Linked DNA regions of Coturnix japonica. The protein of the gene in region 5 purifies or fractionates together with the protein of the main gene of each other region. This does not show direct contact. Links are inferred from orthologs where the notes say so. Each region holds a gene or a part of one and is shown on either strand. Other genes may lie near its edges.

Region 1 (2,983 bases), about 62 Mb from region 5:
GTGTGAGGCTCAGAGCTGCTGTCATAAATGTTTCCCATGTCAGCACGTGTTGTGTTACACAGGAACACAGGGTTGTGTTACTCCTTGAGCCATATGCTCGCAATTACATGTTCTGCTTGAAAGCAAACCCAAACCTGAGATGAAGAACGTTAAGATACCATTTGCTCTGGACTCTGTGCAACTGCATTTCTTCTAAATAAAACCCGCTCGCTTGATGAAGCTCAGCAGGGCTGGAGGTGGCTCGCATAGTTTCCATGTTTCCCAGCTGTTTGTTTGTTTCACTTCCTTGAAGCAGTACAAACACAGCCCTTGGCGTGGCTGTCAGCAGGACGTGGCCGTCTCCTGACCTTGGCCAAACAGCAGTTCCAGCCCCAGCCCCCACAGAGCGCAACCTTGGCCAGCTCGGCCTCTGTCCCACTTCACTTAGTTCTAAGGAAGGGAAAGGGAGTGAACCTGGCCCCTGCCTGTGCTGCAGCCTCCGTGTGCCACACTGTTCTCCCTGGGATCATCTGTCCTGGTTTCTGGAGCAGAAACGCTCCAGCTTGATCTGCAGCTCAGGCTGGTGTTGGTGTGGTTGTGCCTGGGTCAGGGCTTGCTCAATCTGATGCATGCTCGTGTTTGATGAGCAGGGGCTTAGCAGTGATTCCATGGCTGGCAGCCTGGGTTATGCGGTTGATGGTAATTCTTGAATTACTGGGGTGGGCAGGTGCCCAAGTAGCTGTTGTGTAAGCAGGTGCTCGTGCCATAAAGTGGTAGGGCTGCCTACGCAGCACCCAGCAGGCAAGTGATGGGCACTGTGCAGCTATTCCTGGGATGACAGCTACCCCACACGGCCTGACCGCTTCCTTCCTTCAGTCCATGCTGGTGCTTCAGCTCTGTCAGGAAAAGAATATCTGAACTTCTTGGTGCCCTGGCTCCATCTGGGTGCTGAGCCTGGCCTGTGAGCTCTGTAGGCTTCCTCTGAGGAAGGGCATGTGGAAAGGCAGGGATCTGCTGCATTTCATTAAGTGTAGGGAGATATTTTCTTGGTTTTTTTTTTGTTCCTCGTGACTTTGTATATGAAAGCCCAGTGACAGAGACAGCTGGAAGCTGCACAAGTATTTGGCACAAAAGGCCTTGGAGGGCTGCAGCTGGCTGCAGGCTTGGGCTGGAAGCATGGAAACTATTCTGCTCCGCTCTTGGTTGGCGGTGATTTCTGGACACAAATTAGGCGGTGCCTCAGCCAGGATCTCGCCAGGGCTGCAGCGGGTCCACCATGATGACCCAAGTCATTGTGAGTGATTAGGTACCATTATCCCTGCTTGACATGAACCAAAACAGTCTGGTGTTCTTCCTCTGAATAAGGTGACAGGGAAAGGCTGTCGTGTGGCCCTGCTCTTCCCTGAGCCATGGGGCAAGCAAACACAGCAGGTCATTCTCCAGGAGGCTGAGAGCTGCGTTTCTGTGTTTGGCCAGAGCCCATCCTGCCTCTTTGTAGGCAGAAATCTAGCATTCATATCTTGGATGGCTATTAAGGCCAAGGAAAATATTTGCGTTACTAAAACACTGCTTGTGCTAACTGCAAGCACGGTGCTTCCAGAAAGCTGGGTGGCCCCAGGAGTCAGCCCAGATCCTGAGCCCAATGGTGTGTTAACCTATCCTGGAGGCACATGGAAAGCTCTAGTGCTGGTGCAGGTGGCGGAGAGCTGGCTTGTTTTATCAAGCACTGAGCTGATAGAACTGCTGAGGTAACTTCTGCTGTCCCAGAAGCTGCTTTCTCCAGCAACAAGCCCTTCAGGCACACGACACCACCACACGCTCATAGCTGAGCCATTTTTTCATCACTTGTCAAGCCAGAACAGTTACCTCAGTGTTGTAAGTTTACCCCCATCCCTCCCGCAGGGCCCAGCAGTTACAGCGTGGGCACCATGTCGGAGCGCTTTGACTGCCACTACTGCCGCGACTCGCTGCAAGGCAAGAAGTACGTGCAGAAGGAGGGCCGCCACTGCTGCGTCAAGTGCTTCGAGAAGATCTGTGCCAACACCTGCATCGAGTGCAAGAAACCCATCGGTGCTGACTCCAAGGTAACTGCTTCGGTGCACTCAGAGGAACATGGGATCTGATTATTGTCATTTCTTAAATCAGTTTGTAAATGTTTGCTGCTATGTCTATGGCAATAATAACATACACCTGAACTGGAAGGCACAGGATGAAAAGTAGCCCTTGCTTATGGAACCCCACATCTCAAAGTTGTTAGCTTTGAAGCACCTTGTGCTACCCCCCAAATCCCAAAGTGCGTTTAGGCTCTTCACAGATGCAGCTTTTTGTATGTGATGATAACTACCATTGGGGCAGTAACTTGGTTGTATGCCGCTCAGCAAGAAGAAGGGCTTACTGCTCCCTGTTTCTGATCATTCCAGGAGCTGCATTTCAAGAACCGTTACTGGCATGACAGCTGCTTCCGCTGCTTCAAGTGCTACACGTCCTTGGTCAATGAGCCCTTCATGCTGAGGGAGAACAACAAGGTCTGGTGTAGCAACTGCACTGCCACTGAGGATGCACCCAGGTGTAAGGGCTGCTTCAAGCCTATCATCGCAGGTAAGGCTCCTTACTAAAATCAGATGTAGAAATTAAGTTGTGAAGAGCTGTTTAAGTTCTGTACGTGCAGATCTCTTCTACAGCCATTACGCTGCATGAAGTCATTGTATGCTTGTCACAGGCCTGAAATCCCACCTACAGTGTTCTTTTTTTTTCTGTTGTAGGAGACCAAAATGTTGAATACAAGAAGATGGTCTGGCATAAGGACTGTTTCACTTGCAGCCAGTGCAAGCAAGTGATTGGAGCTGGGAGCTTCTTCCCGAAGGGTGACGAATTCTACTGTGTCTCCTGCCACGAGCACAAGTTTGCCAAGACCTGTGCTAAATGCAAGAATGTAAGTCCTTCCCTTTTGCCACCACAGCTGCCAGAACTGGCCTGTAGCATGTGTATTAGAAGCTAGGAGAGT
Region 2 (3,515 bases), on a different chromosome or scaffold from region 5:
TCCCAGCTGAAACACTTGCAAAAGGTTTAAAGCTTAGAAAGGTTCACGCAAGGAGCCTGTTTCCCTGAGAGAGATTAAAGCAGCTTTCTGCACAGTCTGATGGATAGCAGAGTTAAACTCTGTTGGCAGGGTAAGATGCAAGTTGGATGCAGATGTCTAATTATTCTCCTCAAATAAACAAATGGAAGATGATTTAGAATTTGAAACATGAACTGTCATGGCACTCACAGAGAGGAAAGGCAAAACTCAACCAGCTTACACAGTCCCTTGCTCAAAGCTCTCCAAAACATCGTGGGTATCCCAACCTTTTATTATTTTGCTCTTATTTCCTTTGTGAAAGAAGGAAGGCAAAGAATTATATCATCACCGGTGTATCTTCTCTTCCTGTAAGTATCAGCTTGCACTTCCACACTATTAAATTCTAGCTGTTTTATCCTTTTAATTCACAATTGTGCCTTGTAACAGAAAGGACGTCTCAGCAACCAGACGTTAAGTTTTGTTGTTGATTTTATATGAAACAGAACAGTGATTTATACCAAAACATCTTGTAAATTACATCCCATATTTCATAAGGTGGTAGTAGTTCTATAACACTTCAAACACGGCTTCAGGTCAACCAAAGCATGTCAGTGGAAAGGAAGAAAAGAGATAGCTCATCCCCCTCACCTGCTCAACTAACAGATGTTGTTGTCTCTGCTCCATTAGGAACTGCTGCTTCTGTTGCTCCATGAGCAAGTGCTTTTGTTGCTGCTCTCTCTGTTTCTGCTGGTCCATCAGCATTTGGTGCTGCTTCATCACTGCTGCTTGCTGCTGATTGCTAAGATACGACTGGTTGCTGTGGTTCCCTGCCATGGTGACATTAGGAGCCTGGGCACCAACACCAGCACCCGGGACAGAAACAGGAACACGAGGAACATTAGGAGATGCAGTTTGATCCTGCAGAACATAAAAACAATTACGTGAGTTACAGAAGGAGGCGAGCCCTCTAGAACTCAAGGACTTTGTACAGTCACACAGACAAGGAAAGATGACCACAAGTTCTATCATCTCCTGTAAAGGACACAGGATTTTTACAAATAAAGACACAGAAATGAGGAGTTGGAGTTAACATCAGAAGCTCCAGCGGATACAGGAACAGAGGCTTTAACTCAAGCCTCACTTAAAGTACTTCCCAAATTCCAGCTCAGAAAGGGGAACGCAGCTTTGTGCGCTTCTGCTCAGCCAGAGGAATGGTGCCATTACAAACAGCACTTTCAAATGCACCAACTTCAGTTACCTTTGTTTGCAGCTTTCCAACCAGCTTTCAAATTTCATCGTACAGTTATATCCTGCCTCTCCTGTCAACACTTAATTCTGAAAGTTTACACCTCTCTTCCTAATGTTGACTTTTTTTTTTTCTATCAAAATTTACTATTCATAGGTGAAAAAACATTGCTAACCAAAATGAAGAGTCCTAACGTTTCATTACCACTCCAGCCTTCATGGATACTACACAGAACAAACACAACTATAGATAACTGGTTGTATTCATTTTCTCATAAATCTGCTTTTTTTTCTTTCTGTGTTGGAGATAGGAACTCGGGAAAAGCCATTAAGTCAAAGTACTATGGAATGATTATCCATCAAGACCTGGCACTGATCTCTTTGTACATAAGAATCTATTTGGAATTTGACATTTTGTTATCATTTTCAAGCTCAGTTCAGCCTCATTTCAAATTATGCAAACACATTTGTTTTCACATTCAGAATTCAGCTAATGGTCTGCGCTGCTGGTTCTCACTTGCTGCAGTTTTTAAGAAAGCATGAGCCAAATATAGGTAATGCTGTGCTAAGTTGTTCTGTAAGCAAGCTTGTTAGAAATTCTCCAGAACTATTCATAAGGATTTCTGTTATTTCAATGCAAACATGGCAGCATAGACAAGGTCACCTTCAAGTTTGTCAGCAAAAGATAGATGTGACACACACAATCATCTTCACCCTTCCCCTCTTTCTTCCTTCACCAAAAATATCATTAGATCGTTACTTCCGATAGCTTTTAAAGAGATTAATTTTCCTTGTGTCTTATGAAGCATGTATTATTGATCTCATTTTTATTTTTACATCACTGCGGTCTTTACCACAGACTAATCAGGCCTTTATGCCATGTATTTTATGTTTTGCTTTACTGAAGGAACACACTACAAGAGCTGGAGCTCCATCAGCTTTTGCAGGAGTTTTAGTCCTGATAATAAAGACCTTTTTTGACATTAAGTCTTCCAGTATGTGCACTGTGGGGATTTGGCAGCATGTGCCTAAAAGTCTTCTCCTTCACGTGCTATATATGTTTCTACCTGCAGCACATCTGTAATATCAGCTATATGTTTTTATCTTTATATAGCAAATTTATTGTATCTTGTAAGACAAAGAAGCACAACATGGAGTTCTCCTTTATAGGAAAGCCTTCAAGCAGACAAACATTACCTATTAAAGAAACATTCCCATTCCCACAAACTTAACCAGTAATGAACTCTTAGATTTGAAAAACACCAAGTAACACCCAAGTAACCAAGAATGCAGCCCTCACTCCCATCTCTCTCCAAAAAGCAGCAACTGAAGGCGTATCTGTTTATAGTGAGCCAACTCCTACAGAAGTCAGGGATGAGGGAGAAGGTAAAGAAAGCAAAGCTTCTGCTAGAACGCTGTTTAACACTGCATTTCTATGAGCTATTTCAGGCAAAAGTTTACAAAGCATCTATTTATCTTTGTAAGAAGAACCTTCTGTGAAGTGTGACATAATTTGTTGCCCATAAAGTATATTAAGCTGGAAACCACACGTTACCAACGTGACCTAAAATTGCATATTAAAAACTTTCCTCGGTGGAAAATACAGTGCTTGACTCTTGCCTCAGCACCCTGTGTATTACCATCTTCTTTAAAACAACACAGCAGCTGATCTGAAACACCATCGAGTAACCCATACTTCAATCTTGCCTATCCAACATCCTCTCGCAAAACCTGAAGTCAGTCACTAAACAAAAGTAACAAAGATCAGAACATGTACCTGACTGTGTGGCAGTCGGTAGGTAATGTTTCCAGACTTGGGTTTCAACAGGATCATTCCATTTTGGTCATCACTCACGTGGGATAGTGGCTGCTGCTGGCGCTGCTGTATGTAAGCCAACATGGGAGTCTTGTTCTGACCTGGCACTGCAACACCCTGCTCACATTCTGCTTTGTAATGTGAAAGAGGTTTGGTGTTCCCATAGTCCAGCATTGAGCCTTGACTATTCACAGGGTTCTGGTTCATGCTGTTTTGCTGATGACCCAATATGTTCACATGGTAATTGCCTCCAGCTCTTGGAGAGCTTTTATTTCCCATATTAGGCATCATGAGCTTCTGATTGTTGAAGTCCGGCTGGTAAACTGAAGGGCTGGTGGGATTTTCCATGGTATATGGAACAGCCAGTGGGCTATGAGAAGGCCCAGATTGCCAGGTAGACATCTGATTGGTTTGGTGGACTTGTGAAGCCTGCTGT
Region 3 (3,515 bases), on a different chromosome or scaffold from region 5:
TCCCAAAGTACGTAAGAAGCTGCGAACGTCACGCAGCAGCTCATCAGGGCGCATCAAGACCACAATGATCAGGGTCCCCTCTGCCAGCTTCTCAGCTTTATCCCCAGCACAGTCAAGACCGTCCCAGCCACACTCCTCACTATTACAACCCTGGTCACAGCGGCCGTCTGCATAGTGGTCAGCGCAGTACTTGTCATACCTAGAACAGCAAGAGGGTTAGAGGCAGCATACTGGACATTCACATCCTGTATAATACACCAACAGCCTAGAGCTTACACTTTACATCTGCTTGTAGTCATCAGTGGTTGAGGTAAAATGCCAGTTGTGCTCAGGATACAAAGATGTAACCCCAGCATATGGGTGGCAGGGAAGAAGTATAAAGCAGAACATCCCAGAAAGAGATGGTTCTGTTCTGATACCAGTGAGAGAAAACAGCTTATTCTGCCTATCACAAAAAAGCTACATCATCCTCAAGGGAACATCACCTACTGTAGTATTTACTGTAATTAACCGAAGAGAAAGAAGCAGCGTGACAAACAAGCAGGAACACACATTCAGAGGCAGCAAACAGCTAGGACCAAAATACAGATGGTGCAGGTATGAGCAGGGATCAGGACAGGAGGCAAAGCTACTAAAAACTTGTACGAGGTGAAGTACCTGCTATTCACATTTGCACAGAAAGCACAACACATTCATCAAGCAGCAGGAAGCTGAGGCAGCAGGTGTGAAGTGCACCCACTGTTGAAAGCACTAGCAGAAGATATATTAGCGGCACAAAGAAACCAGCCTCAGGATCAAGCCTTACTTGCACATTCTGCTGTTTTGCTGACATTCAAAGTTGTCAAACAAGCACTCGGGTGTGTTACAGAACTCGTCACACTGCCCATTGAAAAGCATCCAGCAGCGCAATGAAGAGGAGCAGTTGGCCCAGGGATCCTCCATTGTCAGGGAACAGTCGCCTCCGTCCCACTGGCAGGCGTGAGTGTTACAGTCTTCATCACAATAGCCATCTCTCGCTTTTTCCGCACACTGGGAATCCAAACATCCCAGAGGCTCCTGGCTGGGATGTACGAGCTGTTCACACTGGCTGCCTTGGGTGTGATCGGGGCACTGACAATAATAGTAAGGAGGCTGAAAACGAGGGTGGCAGCTTCCACCATTCTGGCAGGGGGCGCTGGCACAGCCTGTGTTGGTCTGGCATTCCTCTCCCACAGCCAGCCTTGGGCAGTAGCATCGCGGACCAGAAGACGTCTGGATGCACTGCTCGCCCTTCTTGCATTTCACTTGCCCACAAGTACTGTGGCTGCTGAACTCACATTTTGCCCCAGAATAACCCTAGGGGGGGAAAAAAAGGGAAAACGGTCAGGCTCAATACTTATCCTTCAGCACTCTCAGGGGTGGAGGCAAGGTGTCCCATGCAATTTCATTCTCAACTGCCACTTTCTTATGGTACCTTTGGTTTCCAGTAGATAAACTGAATATGTGTACAGTTTGCCTGAGGACACTATTTCTCGTACTACAGAGAAGAACCTCAACCAACACTAGCCTAGTGAAGTTAATGTGACTAATGTGACTATAAGCCAGCAGACTCCACAGCTGAGGCAGGTGATTCTGTCTCAGGACACAGCACTTACCGGAGGACACTGGCAGATGAACCCATCAGGCATATTGCTGGCAACAGCACAAGTGCCTCCATTTTGACAGGGCTTCCTGGGACACACATCTATGACACTCTCACAGTGACGACCTGTGATACAGACACATGGAGAGAAATGATCAGAGATATGCATGTGTGCATCATAAAATCATCACCAAGCAAAATATGCATTAAGAGCCAACAAGTCGAAAACTCCAACAAAGCTTTCCCCTTAGAAAAGGTAAAGACACCCTCAAATCAACCAAGGCTGAAGATGTTGAAGATTCCCCTGAGATCTCTTTACTTTTAGGGAGATGCTTAATGAATCCAATCTCTGGGCAAACAACTCCCACTGTCTTGCAAGGACAAATTAATGCATAGAATGTCTTCAGTACCAAGCAATGCTGGAAGTCACATAGGTGCCAAACTGACCACAGCAAGGAATCCTGAACACCTGTTAGGTCATCATACATACATCTTACATACTGCATCTGATTTCCTGGGAGAAAATTATGCCTTAGGATCAGATACAGCATCAGCGCACAGGGTGAGCAAGCAGAGCCTCCCTATGCTCATCAGCTGGATGGTGAGGTTGCATGGACTGGAGTTTGCAGCAGCATCCAGAGGGAAACTCTGGCGCCAGCATTGAAAAAGATGAGGATGACCTAAACATGACTTGGACCTCCCAGGAAAATATTATAGAAGTCTTTACACATGTGAAGCCAAAACTGACTGTTCACAGACAGGAGCAGACAGGGCAGGATGGCCCACAGAGGCCTGGCATCCTATTAGTCAGAAACCACAGTAAAGCCACCTCCATCTCCTCCAAGGCAGAAGGGTCAGTGTGGAATGTGCAGAAGACAAACAGCTAGAGGAAGAGACATGCTCCCCCCCCGTGCCTAACATTTCCAGACAGATTTCATGTCTGAGACACAACAGCTCTGCCTGTTCCCCCTAAGGAGCTGCAGGTCTGCACTCCCCATGCTGCAAGTTCCAACAACCCTTCCATGAGAGCCAGAAGCAATGTGAGGGACAACTTGTAAAAGGGTTGTATTTAAGTCTGCCTGCTAAGCTAATGTCCTGCAGCAGTGTCCTTTCAGGAACTTCCTTTGTCAGTCTTGTTATTTCTTTGCATCATATAATCACGGAGTTAGGGGAAAAATCTCAAAATCTTTAACTTTTAAGAAAAAAAAAGTAAAAACTATTGGTAAAGCATGCAGAGGGGGTCACTGGTAAGCAGGGAAAGTGAAAGGTTTTAATGGAGGAAAACTGCATCCACGAGAACTAAACTGACATGCAGACTGGAAAGCTGAAAGTTCAGACGCATCTGGAGACTATTAGCTTAAACTTAGGCCCAGCAGGAGGCAGAAAGCAGAACAGCAGTAATGCTGACAAAGAAGAGGACTAGACAGAGCTAGACACAAGATTGTGTAGCATGATTTCTTTTTGCAAAGCTCTGATTCAAATTTGGATTGTGGAAGGATCACATAAATAAGTGAGGAATGCACAGATTGCCCACGCACAGAGTAACCCATCCTGACCTCCATCTCCAACATAAGGAAGAAGGAGAGGGAGGGTTACAAAAGGAGGCCAAAAGCTAATAATGGATACTATAACACTGATTTATGGAGGAAATCCACATGCTGCTTTGCAAAAGCGGAGCTGACACACAGAGAGTTACAACTTCAACAACAGAAATGTGAAGATATGAAGGAGAGAAAAGTATCTGGAAAAACAAAATTGGCAGTCAAGAGTCTCAGGAGATTCTTTTGTCTGAGACAACCCTGGAAGTCCAACGTCTTAGTTTTTTTCCCCTAAAAAAAGAAGTGTTCAAGAACTGAGACAGCACAGAGGAACAATCAGATATTGTAGAGGGAAG
Region 4 (4,212 bases), on a different chromosome or scaffold from region 5:
CTTTTTCCAGAGCATCCTTTTATTGGCCTGAAAGTCAGTACCACTGAGCTCATCTTCGCTTCAGAGGAGATGTCTCGAGGCTACTTGTTACTTGATTTCTTAGTGAGCAGAGGAACATTGTGCTTCGTACCATTAGGCTGCAGGGTAGCTTTGCTCTGTACAAACATGAAATCCTTCCATGCACATGAGGAGCACCAGAGGTTGGCACGTGAGCATTTACTCAATGGATTGCCCTGCAGCAAACCTTGCCTCAACCAGCATTCCCATTATTCCTGTGCAGGTTTTTGGGGGCTCTTTGGGTGTAGAAATGGGTATTGAGAGGTCTTGAAACACAAAAGTGATGCTTCTATTGTGTTTTTAGGCTTATTTTTTATACATTCAGAACACAATTGATTTTGAGGTGTGTTTTCCTAATGGCTCAGCTGTCTGAAATCTGTGTATGAAGTCTGTGTACAGGCTGACCTGTTTTGTGTGTGCAAATAAATCTTCAGACTGTGTGTGATCTGGCACATTTTCCTCTATGATCCTATGAGAATTAATGTAATTAATGGCTTGCAGGGAGCCAGCAGAGGGAGTGCATGAGCATAAAACACCACAAGTCCAAGTTTAGGGTGATTTTGGTGGAGAGAATTAAGAGCAAACCCGGACACAGGTAGTGCAGCTGATCATTGCAACCAAGCAGAATAGTTATCAGAAGTGGCTCAAATTGGGTTTAGGTCAATGGGGTGGTCACTTAGTGCCTAGAACCCAGATGGGAACCCAGCCCTTACAACAGCACTGGTTCTCCAGGCAGGGCATACAGCAGGGAGGTGGCATTGAGAGGGAGAGATTGGCATTTTGCAGCTTGCAGATGGAATATAGGAAACCTTTCTCTTTAGAATTGAAGTCTTATATGGAGGAAAAGACAATTTCCTGTTGAAAAGCATCCGAAGGGGAAAGGCAGCGCTTCAAAGAACTGGGAACTGCCTGTTTTGTGGGGCTGAAAAGCAAAGCCTGGTGCAGGTGTCCACATGGTCTCTCTTATTCATCCTCCCAGCATTGCCATGTTAGGTCAGATGCTCATGGAGCAGTGCAGGGAGGATATTGCTTATTGGTTTTTTTTTTTATCTTGCCTAAAATATGCTTTTTCCCCCCCCACTGTGCTGAACTTGTCTGGCAATTGATTTTCAAGCAAGTCGGGTCTCACTGATCCAAGTTTGATCTGTGCTAACAAGAACAAAACGATATCCCTACCCCAGATCATAGGCAATTAACACTGCTGATACCATTAATCATTTGAAAGGGGGGGGGATAAGCACAAGGGGGGGAAGCTGCCATCCAAGCCCTTGGTGGCATGGCTGCTCAGGAGCCCTCGGAGCCTTGCTTTGGACTGGCTGAGCATGTAAGCCCAAATGCTCTTAATGTCTCCTTAAACACAGCTCTGCTGTGCCAGTGGAGCTGATGACAAGCAGAACAGGAGCTTGCAAAGTATGAGGAAGTGTCTGGAGCAGGTTGGGTCTTCCACCCCTAAATTAACCCTGTAGCTACTGATTGCTAAGCGCAATTAAATGTTATGTAGAGTCCCTTTCTCCTTCCAACCAAAGCAGCCAGCCAGGGCCGGGCCATTTAACACACACCTTCATTTTTTTTTCCCAAGTGAGAACGTAGCTTCTACAATTATGTTTGGATAACGAGTTCTTTGTGGCATGTGAAAATGAGCATTCCCTTCTGAGTAACGCGCTGTGACTCAGTACTATTGCATGGCTGCTTATTTTCATTCAAGAGCTTGTTTTCATTCAAGAACTTTCCCTTTGGAGGATTTTCTTTCCCTAAAATCTGTTGACTTTCTAAAAAGAAGTTGTCAAAAGCTCTGCGGGTTCAGGCACTTGTTTGACAGCTGAGCAGAGGAGGAGGGATCTCATGATGGGAACCAGCAATGCAACCTACGCTTGTGAGCTGGGGTCCATGGGACCAGGAGTGATGCCTGCAGGTAGGGGAACCTTGCTGTGTTAGGAGGGGTTTTGCATGAGCTGCCTCCTGCAATCAGGTTTTGGGGGGTGTTTTCACTTGGCAGTTTCTCTGCACTTCATGTTTCTTCTCTCTGTTCCACTGCGGTGGCTAATAATTTTAAGCAGAACAACTAGCAGGTTCTTAAGTAGATTCAGGAGGGGAGGGAAGGGGGTATTGAAGTGCACAGAGAGGAGGAAAAGAGTTATAAAATGCTTTGCCAGCTGGCAGGGTAGCAGCTCTTAGGATCGGTCAGACAAATGGGATCGGTGCTGGCGGAGCTTGGCTTCGATCACCCTTTGAGTACGCATTATTTTAAGCGGTTGAGATCATTTGGTGAGGCTTGAAGCTGACTTTTAAATGCTCTGATATGTCTGTGCTCCTGCAGTGTAAAAGCTCTCCCCTGTGCTGGGGGCTGGAAGGTGCAAAGCCACAGGGTGATGCTTTGGGACGCTTTGTAGCCGTCAGTCAGAGCAAAGCGGGGCTGCTGGGTGATTCACTGGCAAGTGAATCAAACTGCACGTGCTTTTTGATGAGACACAGCTGTGCAAATCACTTTGGTGCTTTTTGAGTGTTGGTGTTGCTCAGATATTAACTTTAGTCTGTGTAGAAGCTGCAGTCCCAGCTCAGCACAAGCAAAGAGCATCCGGAGAGCTTCTCTGCCCCTGGGACAGCTAGCACAGCTACTGATATTGGATGTTCTCCTTTAGGAGCTGGTGGGGTGCTTGAGCTTTGTGGCCTTTTTGCCTTGAGGCACTGGGGCAGGGTTATAGCACAGGGCTTTTGCCATCACTGTGGAAGGTGAGTGTTGCAATCTGCGGTTGTTCCCAGCTCCCTGGTCTCATGCCCTATGAACAGATCTGCATCTACGGCATGTCAAGCTTGGTGCCCAAATATCCCTTCCACTTGTTTATCTGGAGCTGAATTCATTGCTAATCTTGTTCTCCTCACCAAAAAAATAGCACGCTGTGGGTGTGAACTTGGAGGATGGTAATTTGTTATGCTTAGGAAATGAGGATCTAGCTAAGTGAATGCATTTGGGTATAATGATATCAAGAGGTCTGGTAAAGCCGTAATGAAGTCCTGAATACTCTGCAGTCATTTTCAGTTCAGTTAAGGGAAGGCAGAGGGATTTCCTTGCTCTCCAGAGCACAGGCTGCCATCCCGATGCCCTGCCAGCTTCCTCTTCAGTCGGCTTCCTGTAATTTTGCAGCAAGAATGTTGGGATTGCATGTGTGTATTTAATGAGCATTACAAAAAAGATGTCTGGGAGAGATGTGCCCAGCAGGAAGCTGTGCTGGGAAGCAAAGTTGGGCTGATTTTAATCGTGGTGTCATGCACTCTGCCTGCGGGTGCTGCTTGCTGTAATCTCCATCCTTTGAGGCCGCTGGTATCGATGCTGGCATGTGTGGCATCCCAGGAAGGATAAAAACCATCTCAGGTCCAGGTTTGTTTCCTTACCTTCTTTCTTAGGGAAGCCTTTCACAGCCAAGCAGCACCATCAGACACAGAACCTCTCCTGTAAGCATAGGGGACCAGGCAAAGCTGCCTGGAACTTCTGCACCTGCAGGGATGCACGACACCTGCAGATCACAGGGGAACAGCAGCAGGGCTTCCTATAGCTCCTGCCTTGCAAAGCAGGTGCTCTCCTACACCCTAAGCTGCTTGCACACAGTTTGTCTTCCTCCAGATCTTGCAGTAAGATCTGTGGCTGTGATTATTCTGTGTGCTGGAGCTCCAGAAGATTAAAATCGGGATTTGACTGTGGTCAGACTTTGTGATCTTAGTGGTCTTTTCCAATCTTAACACATCTGTGATGTGTTTGCTGCTCCAGCAGTGGTGAGCCTCCTTGCTTTGGTGATGGCGATGGTTGAGCATTTGTATGGAGCCTTTTGTCCACGTGCAGAGGAGGCTTAGTTGTGAGCTCATTCTGAAGCAGTGTGCAGCCTGCTTCAGAGCCCTGCAAAAACCACGTCCTTGGTTTGAAGCTTTCTGACGCAGAGCTCTGTATAGGCCTTTCTGAGCAACGTAGTGCTCAGTTTATATTTCTGCTGCTGTTGAGTTTCTTTTGGTGACCTCAGTGTTCTCTTTTTTCCCCACTTGCAGCTGTGAAGTGGAATGCCATGGCCAGCTCCTCAGACAGTGAAGATGACAGTTTCATGGCCGTGGATCCAGAAGAAGCTGTGGTTGAGGGAACAATGGAGCAAGATGAGGAGCCACATGCTG
Region 5 (4,286 bases):
TCATATTCTAGGCATGAGGATGCTCGAGCAGTTTAGTGACCACCAGTTTTCAAAGTTGAGACTGAAGCAGCATGGGATCTTTCCATAGTTTTGTTCTTCCAAATGGCAGAACGTAGTTATTTTAATTATTTTTAATTCGTAGGCCTTGAAATGCAGTCCTGGGGTAGGGGGTGGGGTCAGAACAGTTAAGGTTAGCAACAGAAAGACTGTATGACAGAAGAAAGTTGGGTTGTGTTAGTTGAGTCAAAGAGGAACAGATGGATTTTCTTTGTGTTTGAGCTCTTGTGTAGATGCTAGAAACACTGGAATTTCCCATTCTTTCAGCAATAGAAAACTATATAATGTGGTGTATCCGAGTGAGGGATTCTGAATAGGATTTGACATTCTTGTATTTTCTGAAAACATTTGAAATGCATTGTGTATTTTGTGTCTTGTTTTACCTAACCTGAGAATATTAAAGCTTGAGCAGAACAAGGTTAATATTAGTGCACTTCTTCATTTCCACAGTTACTTGAGAGGCAGGCAGGTGTAGCATGTAAAGGGAGTAAGTTTGTTTCCCACTCACTACTTGCACTTCTCAATGGAGAAGTTTAAGGAGAAACAGGGAATGAACAGGGAAACAGGGCTAAATGTAGAAGATAGATTTGGAAAGAGGGATGATTTGGGTCATGATGTATAAGCAAAGTTATTTCTGTAGTGCAGAATGTACAAGTGAAATTAGTTCATGCAAACTATCATTAGTAAATACATGAAGTAATAGAATATGAAGTGGTGTTTGGAGAAAATACAGAACTGGGAAAATAATAGTTTGAACAGGTGCAGCTGTCTGCAACAGCACATTATGGCAAGCTTAATGCTGGTCTCATGTTTGCAGTGCAGTAGGTTGGGAAAACAGGTTGAGCTGAATTAGTTCTGTGAATTGTAGTGGTAACTTGACTGTATGTCAAGCATTTCAGTACAGCACACCTGGAACAGTACTTCGTAATGAATGTTGCAATCTCTACCAAGCTTGTCAGATACCCTTGAAATAACTGAACTGGCTCAGATTTTAACATGCCAGTAAATATGAAAGGTTAAAGTAGCAGCAGTCATAGCTTATACAGTGCCTGTTGTTTAGTACCGAGCTGCAGATAATGTACTTGTTGCGCTTGCAAATTCTTAGCATCACGAAATAAAAAAGCCTTCTGCATGGCAGTTGCTGTATTTTTTCACTTCTGGTCATACCATTAATACAAGTTTCTATAGCAAATTGAACGTGTATGGAAAGAGCAAACCAGATGAAGAATTAAATGTGAGAGCTGCTCTGAAAGTCTGAAGGTAATGCCTCCTATCTTATGATGTTGGCTTACAATGTCAGGCAGGTATTGGTATTATGACAGCAGAGGTTAAACCTTCCCACCAGTGTTCTGTTCCGTGTTGTTGCCATGTGACAGATGGCAGCAGAGGGCACTAAGACCAATGGTGTCTGTCATGGAGGTGTGTATGAAGCGAAGGTGTGTTGTTGAATTCTGCTGTGAGGAGAAATTGGCGCTGACTGACATTCATCAACTCTCACTGAACGTTTATGGAGACCCAACGATGGATGTTGATACGGTGAGATGATGGGTGGTGTGTGTCAGCAGTGATGACAGTGATGTATTGGACAAATTGTGTTCTTGATGGTCATGCATGCTGCAAAATGAAGACTGTCTTGATCAGCTCCTTGCTGTGTATAGGTGGTTTGTGACCAGGCGGCCGTGGATGTAGCTGAGTGTCGGCTTCTGTTTATTGGAAATAATGTGGCAACACTGAAATATCACAAGCTCTTCGTGCCAGGTCCCATGAATACTTAGACAGGAACTGAGAAAACACCCTACACAAGTATGTCTGGACCTATTAAACTGAAACAGTTTCCTAGATCACATCATCAGCAGTGATGAGACATGGTGTAACCACCACAAGCCTGAGTCAAAAGGGCAGTCCATGGAGTGTAACATTTGAATTCCCCTTTGAAGAGAAAGTTCAAGACAGCCCTCAGCAGGTAAAGCGCTGTCTTTTGGGAAAGTGGTGATCCTTTTGGATTTCCTGGTAGCCAAACAAACCATCAGCTCTGACCACTGCATCACAGTGGTGACTAAGCTGAAGACTCGAACTTCCAGTCAGGCCAGAGAAAAAGACAACCTTTCTCTTGCAACACAATAATGCCAGGCCTCATACCAGTTTGAAGACCATGGAGCACATTGCCAATCTTGGCTGGACTGTCCTACCACACCCACCGTACGGTCCAGGATTTGACTCCTTCAGTATTCTGGCTGTGCTGATGAAAGATGAGCTGCATGGGCAACATTCTCCTAGTAACAACACTGTTGTAACAGCTGAGAAACAGTGGGTCACCACCCCTTGTGCAGATTTTTGAGTGTGACATACACTTTTGTTCATTGCTGTCCAAAGTACACAGCTAATGGTAGTGACTGTGTTGAGATAGAGTTTTATAGCTGAGAATTTGCTCTATCAAGTAGTGCTATTATGTACATTGTATCTGTTGTTATTTCCATGGAAATTAATAGGAGGCGTTACTTTTAGAGCAACCTAAGTAGTACACCCAATACTTTCTGTCTTGTTTCATGTCTTATTTATATATCTTGCATTGTGCAATGTGACTAAAAAGTCGGTATCTTGGTTATAGGAGCTGCTGTGGGATATACTGTGTTCATGTCAGTATGTGGGATGGTACAGGAATCTGGTTATTAATATCAAGGGTAGGATGCACAAGGAACAGTCGTTAGTCAGCATCTCTGTTCGCTGGTGACACTGACAGGGCCTGAAGGAATTGTGTGGGACTGTGTCAGATTGGGAAAAGATTCTTCCCCACAGAGTGGTTTGCTACTGAAACAGGTTCCGCAGGCAACAAGCTGACTGAGTTCAAGAAGTGTTTGGACCACTCTCAGACATAAAGTTTGAATTTTATTGGTCCTACAGGTAGCCAGGAGTTGGACTCAATGATCCTTGTGGTTCCCTTCCAACTGGGGATATTCTGTGATTCTGTAAGGTGACATTAGTGAAGAGGTAGTAGCTGAATTTATTTACAGAGTCAAAAACTGAACCACAGTTAAGTATGTGTGACAACCTCCTGTTATACCTTGCTCTGTATGCACAGGGAAAGAGTTGCAAAAGATTCACTGAACTCACTTTGCATCTGTTCAGAAGATTCATGTTGCTACAGGCAGCACCTCTGTTCACGAGGTGATTAGAGTGAAATCATTAACTTCAGTTTGGATGAGCAGCTGGGGGAAGCTGGCATGTGGCTGATGGCAGGGCATGCCGTGATTGGAGCTCTGGTTCTGGTCCAGTTGGTGGGTTGTAAGAGGACCTGGTGTGACTTGATGCTTTCTGTGCCTCTGAGGAAGGGACCTGTTGGTACTTAGAGGATGGGTTTTATTATGTTGCAGTAATTGCAGCTGTTCTGTTTCTGTATAGGTTAGTTGTTTGTACAGTTTTTTAAGGCTGTAATTAGTGTACTCACAGAGAGAATTAATCTACTGTTTTCAGAGCTGTGCATGAGTAGATGTTGCCTTAAAGAATGAGCTGTCCTGTGTGTGGTTTCTGTGTCACACAGTTTTGAGGTGTCCTTGTGTCCTCCTCTTGGATCAGAGCTGCTGGCCATGGTGCAAACAAATACCGTGTGTGTATTGCTTCCTTTGCTCCACGTAGGCACCTCTTAACTTTTTTCTTTATGAATTAAAAGGTGCAGAGTGATTGAAATGAAGAATGTCATTCTATTCAAAGTGAGACAGCTAACCTATAGGGTTTTGTTTGTCTGTGGAGAATAGCTTAAGGGTAATCTGTTGTCTAGTCAGTGAGTCACGGAGAGATGAATCCTCTGCCATATGTACTGCTCCCACATTTCGGAGGGGACAGGAGCCACACAGGGGGGGGGGGCACACACACCTTCTGTTAGCTGGGGGTGGGGGGAGGTGTCAGTGGTTCTGATGTGCTGGGGAGGTGAAGGTCAGTAGACCTGCAAAGGATAGATGGTGGGAGGCATTGAGGTTTGGGAGCCTGACTTGCTCATTATAGCACCTGCATGTGCATATAACTGGTGCTGTTGCCGAAGTTCAGAGCTGTTAGGGATTTATAGTTTTCTGTGTAACAAACATAAAAACGTGTTTTTGTGTATTGTAAGTTTCAAGATCTGCTGGACAAGTTGTGCAGCAAGAATTTGTCACTGTTTTCTTTTAATTTAAAATAAGGCAAATAAGTGAGCAGTACACTGACAAAACGTGAACGGAGCTTAAATTAGTTCAGAT

What was found.
Region 1: the proteins of RBPJ (region 5) and FHL1 purify together in Homo sapiens (affinity purification with western blotting; 4 studies listed by BioGRID and IntAct, with this or other methods). This does not show direct contact. The link is inferred for Coturnix japonica from reciprocal best matches to the Homo sapiens genes RBPJ and FHL1.
Region 2: the proteins of RBPJ (region 5) and MAML1 purify together in Homo sapiens (co-immunoprecipitation; 12 studies listed by BioGRID and IntAct, counting the BioPlex papers as one, with this or other methods). This does not show direct contact. The link is inferred for Coturnix japonica from reciprocal best matches to the Homo sapiens genes RBPJ and MAML1.
Region 3: the proteins of RBPJ (region 5) and NOTCH2 purify together in Homo sapiens (affinity purification with mass spectrometry; 3 studies listed by BioGRID and IntAct, counting the BioPlex papers as one, with this or other methods). This does not show direct contact. The link is inferred for Coturnix japonica from reciprocal best matches to the Homo sapiens genes RBPJ and NOTCH2.
Region 4: the proteins of RBPJ (region 5) and FBXO42 purify together in Homo sapiens (affinity purification with mass spectrometry; 3 studies listed by BioGRID and IntAct, counting the BioPlex papers as one, with this or other methods). This does not show direct contact. The link is inferred for Coturnix japonica from reciprocal best matches to the Homo sapiens genes RBPJ and FBXO42.

Annotation. Positions count from the first base shown.
Region 1 is NC_029519.1:4,099,021-4,102,003, forward strand, and holds part of FHL1 (four and a half LIM domains protein 1), read left to right. Parts: intron 1-1,881; coding exon 1,882-2,063; intron 2,064-2,399; coding exon 2,400-2,577; intron 2,578-2,741; coding exon 2,742-2,911; intron 2,912-2,983.
Region 2 is NC_029528.1:4,563,438-4,566,952, reverse strand, and holds part of MAML1 (mastermind-like protein 1), read right to left. Parts: coding exon 3,041-3,515; intron 937-3,040; coding exon 667-936; intron 1-666. UniProt on the Homo sapiens protein: Acts as a transcriptional coactivator for NOTCH proteins. Has been shown to amplify NOTCH-induced transcription of HES1. Enhances phosphorylation and proteolytic turnover of the NOTCH intracellular domain in the nucleus through interaction with CDK8.
Region 3 is NC_029523.1:4,108,383-4,111,897, reverse strand, and holds part of NOTCH2 (neurogenic locus notch homolog protein 2), read right to left. Parts: intron 1,748-3,515; coding exon 1,635-1,747; intron 1,336-1,634; coding exon 806-1,335; intron 200-805; coding exon 1-199. UniProt on the Homo sapiens protein: Functions as a receptor for membrane-bound ligands Jagged-1 (JAG1), Jagged-2 (JAG2) and Delta-1 (DLL1) to regulate cell-fate determination.
Region 4 is NC_029536.1:3,778,425-3,782,636, reverse strand, and holds the start of FBXO42 (F-box only protein 42), read left to right. Parts: upstream 1-1,401; 5' UTR 1,402-1,899; coding exon 1,900-1,969; intron 1,970-4,092; coding exon 4,093-4,212. UniProt on the Homo sapiens protein: Substrate-recognition component of some SCF (SKP1-CUL1-F-box protein)-type E3 ubiquitin ligase complex. Specifically recognizes p53/TP53, promoting its ubiquitination and degradation.
Region 5 is NC_029519.1:66,303,072-66,307,357, reverse strand, and holds the start of RBPJ (recombining binding protein suppressor of hairless), read left to right. Parts: upstream 1-1,483; 5' UTR 1,484-1,564; coding exon 1,565-1,593; intron 1,594-4,286. UniProt on the Homo sapiens protein: Transcriptional regulator that plays a central role in Notch signaling, a signaling pathway involved in cell-cell communication that regulates a broad spectrum of cell-fate determinations.